Linked DNA regions of Daphnia pulex. The protein of the gene in region 1 interacts with the protein of each later gene in a pairwise test. Links are inferred from orthologs where the notes say so. Each region holds a gene or a part of one and is shown in the gene's direction. Other genes may lie near its edges.

Evidence for each region.
Region 2: the proteins of E3 ubiquitin-protein ligase NRDP1-like (region 1) and enolase-phosphatase E1-like interact in binary tests that used the Homo sapiens proteins (3 or more experiments, as listed by UniProt). The link is inferred for Daphnia pulex from reciprocal best matches to the Homo sapiens genes RNF41 and ENOPH1.

What each region holds. Positions count from the first base shown.
Region 1 is NC_060021.1:11,015,515-11,019,127, forward strand, and holds E3 ubiquitin-protein ligase NRDP1-like, read left to right. Parts: upstream 1-1,358; 5' UTR 1,359-1,410; coding exon 1,411-1,500; intron 1,501-1,590; coding exon 1,591-1,733; intron 1,734-1,803; coding exon 1,804-1,960; intron 1,961-2,026; coding exon 2,027-2,314; intron 2,315-2,373; coding exon 2,374-2,649; 3' UTR 2,650-3,080; downstream 3,081-3,613. UniProt on the Homo sapiens protein: Acts as E3 ubiquitin-protein ligase and regulates the degradation of target proteins. Polyubiquitinates MYD88. Negatively regulates MYD88-dependent production of pro-inflammatory cytokines.
Region 2 is NC_060017.1:3,897,136-3,899,934, forward strand, and holds enolase-phosphatase E1-like, read left to right. Parts: upstream 1-841; 5' UTR 842-977; coding exon 978-1,010; intron 1,011-1,087; coding exon 1,088-1,117; intron 1,118-1,192; coding exon 1,193-1,294; intron 1,295-1,357; coding exon 1,358-1,551; intron 1,552-1,688; coding exon 1,689-1,821; intron 1,822-1,891; coding exon 1,892-2,015; intron 2,016-2,082; coding exon 2,083-2,213; 3' UTR 2,214-2,228; downstream 2,229-2,799. Other genes in the region: uncharacterized protein LOC124193642, read right to left, coding at 2,597-2,799. UniProt on the Homo sapiens protein: Bifunctional enzyme that catalyzes the enolization of 2,3-diketo-5-methylthiopentyl-1-phosphate (DK-MTP-1-P) into the intermediate 2-hydroxy-3-keto-5-methylthiopentenyl-1-phosphate (HK-MTPenyl-1-P), which is then dephosphorylated to form the acireductone 1,2-dihydroxy-3-keto-5-methylthiopentene (DHK-MTPene).

The sequences.
Region 1 (3,613 bases):
ATCCTCTAGCACCGGAATACTACATGTGCGTTAAACCGGTGACTCTGAGGCTCAAATGCAAATGTAAAAATAACTATACCTCCTCCATTGGCTCCATAGCCGTAACAGTCGACATCCATCCTCCACGAAATGTCTTGGCATGGAATCTTCTCTGTAAAAACGATATAACGTTAAGGCGAGGACTAGACCAAAATGACGACAAGTCACTCGATACTTTCAGCACATTTAGTAATCAGGGTACATATTTAGGTGTCCTAAGAGTGTCATCAGCAAAATCCAACAGCATATTTTACATATATGATAAGAAAACCAACCTTTATTCCTCGATTACATTCAAATCAGCGAATTCTGGAAGATAGGTTACAACCAACCGGTGCAAAACCAAGTGAGGTCAGAAATCAATCTAGACATAATTGATCATGAAAATCTACAAACCATTTCAGTGTGATACTGCTTTGGTCTACACTTCAGAATATTGCGATAGAGATTTAATCAAAATATTAATTTAGGTACACTAAATTTCATTGTAATCCTAGGGTCATCAGGACTATTTACCCATATACAATAGGAATTCGTTTTTACCTTCCAAACTAGTCGTCTTCAAGGCACCAATGTAGCCTAAATGCATGATTTGTCTCACAGCCCTTCAAAAATTGTTTCCGATCCTTGCACTCATCTGCCATCATCCCTCCTGGCATTGAAGATATCAACCTAAAATGAACAGATTAAGAGATATAATCAAACCTGTTCCTACATGAGGCAAATTAACAACTTAAATTGACAAGTTAGTTACTAGACAAGAGGAAATTTCATTCGCCTCATGACCGTTACTGCAACATTGATTTCAGACTGAACATGGAATTTCACTTAAAACTACTTATTATCAAACTTGTCCATTTTAACCAAAGAAACCCCAGACCAACCTGAGGCTTCTTTCTCTATAATATACTTCTTAGAGAAAGTCGGTTTTATTAGACTTCAACCTTACCAAAGCAATACACATATAGATATTAAAAATGTTCAGGCTAATTACTGTGTTAAGAGCGTTAACCATATCCTACAACTACGTTTTCAAAACTTAAATGAGAAACTAAAAAATTAGAAAACCCAGAATAACCACGTGTTGATCAACTTACATGTTCAGCATTTGAAGGATTGGTTTGAAATGAAAAGAAGTGACGTTGGCACTTCCATATGTAAACTTCGTTCCCTAACCGTCAGACTGCGTTTTACGGTTTAATTTTTCTACCGCCCGATGGCTCTGCAACACCTTGTTGTTGCATTTATTTAGGTACGTCAATTCTGTTCCCCCTTTATTAAAAAAGAAAGAAACGCGAACTCTTACTGAGAAGCAGGTGTGTTTACTTAATTAGGTCAAAGTTTTCTTGGCCGTTTTGTTAACCAAGAAAAATGGGAATTGAAATAAATCGATTTCAAGGAGAAGTTGATGAAGAATTGTTGTGTCCAATTTGTAGTTCAGTGCTCGAAAATCCGTTACAGGTAATAATGACAGTTCGCTTCCAAAAGCGAGAGTAGCAATAAAATTTCCCCAGAGGGAATGTGATGGATTTAATAGACTTGTAATTTCAGGCACCCAACTGTGAGCATGCATTTTGCTCTGCTTGCATTCACGAGTGGCTCTCGAGACAGCCAACTTGTCCTGTCGACAGACAAAACATAACCCCTCCTCAGCTGAGACCTGTTCCCAGAATACTTCGGAACCTACTATACAGGTTGGTGGTTTGGAAGTTTGAAACCTTATTATCAGTATGAAATTGTACCATTTCTCTATTATTTTTCTAGACTACAGCTCACTTGTGATAACTCTGTTTATGGGTGCACTGCAATATTGAAACTAGATGCCCTGGAGTCTCATGTACAAGAATGTGAGTTCAATCCAAAGAGACCGGTGCCATGTGAGCTCGGCTGTGGGCTAGTTGTGCCAAAAGACGAGTTGAAAGTAAGTGGGTTGTTTTACAGGTTACAACTTTAAATAGTACCTTATTTATGTTGATTGCATTTCCAGGAACACAACTGCGTGCGAGAGCTGCGCTCGTTGATGCAGGCCCAGCAATCGAAACTAGTTGAGGTGCAGGCGGAAGTAGCCGAGGGCAAATTTCAGATGAGCGAACAGAAACGAGAACTGCAGCTGCTGAAGGACTACATGCTAGCCATGCGGAACGCCAATCCTTCGCTGCGGATTCTGGCAGATCAGATGGAAGCCGACGAAGTGAGACGCTGGGCCGAAACTCTACCCAAGGCGAGAGTCCTGCGCTGGGGTGGCATGATCTCGACTCCGGACACGGTGCTACAGGTAATATCCTACAGTTGGCGAGCTCAATACATTCAATCAAATACGATAACCTTTTAAAGTTGCAGGCAATGATCAAGAGAGCCCTTTCCGAATCGGGTTGCCCACCGCACATCATCCAGGATCTGATGGAAAACGCCCACGAACGGCGGTGGCCGACGGGATTGTCGTCGTTGGAAATCCGCCAGCTGAACCGGCGTCAATACGAGAACTATGTCTGCCGGAGGATTCCGGGCAAACAAGCCGTGGCCGTCATGGCCTGCGACAACGGACATATGAATCCAGATATGATATTGGAACCGGGTCTCATCATGATTTTTGCTCACGGTGTAGAGTGACACCCCGGAATTCTTGTCAGATTATTAATCCAACAACATGTTTGTCTTCAGTGTCCTCGCGACCGGCTGGACCACTCCAGCGAGCTGACACTAATGAATTTGTCCCTTTTGTCCTTTAGTTCAGAAGCAGCAGTCCTCTCAACTTACTTAAAAGAATCTGATTTATCTTTTTTCGAATTGTTTATCGTCATCAGTTACTTTCATTGAATCGTGCTCAGTTTGGGGGCTAGGTGTAGGTTTTTATTTGAAATGTTTCTCAATTGGTGTCCCCGCTCTTCGGCGGTTGTAAATGTTCGATACTTGATTAATGATGGCAAAAATCTTGTTTTCTTTCATCATCAACTTTTATGTGCAAATAATGATAGTATATTCCGCCGATGCTGCGGAATAATAAATAATAAAACAATAACTGAGAAGTCAATCGTATGGTATAGACAGTGTGTGTTTGTGTGTATTTTTTTTTTATCTTTTCGTCGATTATTTTTCTGTTATTATCTTTTTCAAACCGGGTTTACTTCTTCTCTCTTTTCAGTTATAATCACATCATCGTCACACATGTTATGTAACATTTTTGTTTTTTTCAAAGTGTGGAAATGGGTTGAGGGTTGGGGGTGGATTTTTTGGAGATGTAATCGCACTACATCACATAGCCATGCTCATCCGAGTATTTAATCACATCACTCAAAAACACTTCCTCTTTTTTAATGAAGTTGATTTTCTTTCTTTTTCGAAACTTTGTTTTCGTCTCCATTCGAATGGCGGAGGGGAAGGATCGGCGGGTAGTGAAACAACATGATACGGGAAGCTAAAGAGATGATTTCAAAACAAGTTATTCACAATTAAGGACAAAATCGATGAGCCAGAGAGAGATAGAGAGAGAGAGAGAGACGTAATAATAAAGTGGTTGGATCGAAATCAAACGTCAAAGAAAAACTACATTGTGTTTGTTGTGTCTGTGCGAACA
Region 2 (2,799 bases), on another chromosome or scaffold:
GTCTATGACCTAACATTCCTAAAAGAATAATTAAACAGTTATCAGTATAAACTCGAAATTGTCTTAAAAATTAGATAGACGTAAGAGCAGATCAATACTTTTAAACCATATTAGACTGCAACAAAGAAAGTTCAGTGACATGACAAGTGAACTTACACATGAAACCACCAATCAGTTATCCAAGGTTCTCTAGAAAATGGAATGAGAGATTGGTCCATATTGCAATTTTTTACGTTTGATAGTTTATGAGATATAAATAATTTATTTTAAATGGTGGCTTGCCAAAAAATCGAATTAAATACACTTTTTCAGAAAATTTTGAAGGTTTCAGTTCACTAGAAAACTTATATCCAAAGTCAAACAATTTTTTTTTTAAATAATACCAACCATTAGTGTTTACTAACTAATGATACTGGGTAGCCACAAAACAGAATTTTTTCGACTTTGGATGTCAGTTTACTACCTTATTAGAAATGTCACGGTGGTCAAGGTTAGAGCAGTTGACTTCTTTGTTTTGGCGATGTCTCTATATGGCAAAATGTTGTTTCTATTCTTTTATGTGACTTCAGAATTCCAATCAAATTAATCTTTGACTTATGGTAAACTGATAAGTTGGATTTCACTTGTTATGTTATCCTTGGTTAATACGACGACCAACGAAAAATCCGCCGTTTACCGTACAGCAGACGTACTTTCGTGAAATTTAGGAGAAGCCACGTTGCCAATTTATGCAACTCAACTTGACCAGTAGAAATTTTGAATATCCTCTTGTATTTGGTATCGTGTTTTGTGCGCGGTTCCTAGATGGCGAAAACTTGTTTACAATTTGATTCCAATCTTTTCCTGTCATTCAATTTACATTTTCGATCGTACAGTTTGTCTGCTTGAGTCGGTTTCCACACGTGTTGGCACTTCGTTTTTATAAGTCTAAATTGAGCCATCAATTTTGACATTGGACATTCGACACAGTGGCAGAAATGGATATCAAATGTTTACTGTTAGATATTGAGGTAAACCAAACTAGGCCCTTTCTGTAAGTATTGATTTTTAAGTACTCTGAAGTGAACATGTAATTTGTTTTCTACAGGGAACCACAACAAGCATCAGTTTTGTCAAAGTAGGTTTTATTAGTATGATCCATTTAAGTGAAAGTTTAAGTAAAATGGCAATATTACCTGGACTGACTTTTCAGGATGAGCTGTTTCCATATATAAGAAGAAAACTTGAAAGTTATTTGGAGTCTAACTGGGATTCACTAGAAGTGCAAGATGATGTTGAATCGTTGAGGAAACAGGTATGATTGAGTATTATCCTGAATACATGCTGTCAAAACACATGTATAATAATTGATTCACAGGCAACAGAAGATGCAACTAAGATGGGTGGGGTGCCTGAAATTGCCAGTTCTTTTGAAACTCCCACCTTAATACAGAGTTCTGTAATTACTAACGTAAACTGGAATATGGATCAAGATAGAAAGATGACAGCTTTAAAACAATTGCAAGGCCACATGTGGAGAGAAGGATATTCATCTGGAGAAATTCAGGGCCAGTAAATGCATTTTTTGCTTTCCATTTCAGAATTATTATTTGGGCCCATGGCATTTCCACATTATTGTTTTTAAATTTTCGTGAAATATTAAACACAATTGCCAAACATTCATTCCTTTAATTTTCCTTTTGAAACAGTTTGTACGAGGACGTTCAAGAAGCGCTAAAGCTATGGACATCTAGCGGCCAAAAAGTGTACATTTATTCATCTGGGAGCGTCGAAGCGCAGAAACTTTTGTTCCAGCACTCTGTTGCTGGAAATTTGCTCCAGGTAGTAATCATCCCACACTACAGCGAGTTTGAATGTTCCCGCTAATGTTAAAATGCTATTTTTCTCCCAGTACTTCTCCGGTCATTTTGATACGAAAATCGGTTTGAAAATCGAGTCAGCCAGTTATCAGGAGATTTCTAAATCGATTGGAGTTGCACCAGATAAGATTTTATTTCTTACCGACCTTCCAGCAGGTAAAGGAGATACACTAGGGCAATTCACACACTGATTAACTCTATCGCCTTGTTCTATTGTAAACAGAAGCTATTGCAGCCAACGAAGCCGGTGTCCAGGTCAAACTGCTGGTCCGACCAGGTAACGCTCCATTAAATGAAGAAATTCTCCAACGTTTCGGCATTTGCCACAATTTTAAAGAAATCCAACTCAAATAAACAATAAGGCCGGTGGTTTTTGTTTCAATCCTTTTTTTGTATTGGATATGGCGTGTCGTAAAAATTGGTTACATAACATGATGAACATTTATTTTCGATACAACACAATTTATTTTGTACACGTTATGTACACATAACAGATCGGAGGATAACCTCGAGTAGGAGGAGCTGTCCGTGATTTGTCTAGGGCTGAAATTGGGTAGTTAGTTGCTTTCAAAAGCATTTATTGGTGTATGTCTGTATGTCGGAACATGATTTCATTGAAGAATCGTCTCTCTCTCTCTCTCTCTGGTTCACTTGAGCAAATGGAAGTTTTTTCACTGTAATCGAGAGAGCAACGTGTGGAAGAGAGAGAGAGAGAGAGCGTGCGCCAAGAAGAAATACTAGGAACCAACCAAGATGTGGACGAAGCCTTCCAGTTCGTCGCCCAATTCACTTTTCCATCTCACACCCGAAAAGTCAGAAGAAGAAGAATCACTTGTCCACGACGAACCGACGCCACTATGGCCGCTAGTAGCCGAACCACAATGGCTACTCTTCCAATTGGCGAGTCCCAATTCGCTCACAAGTTCAGGACCGGATGCAC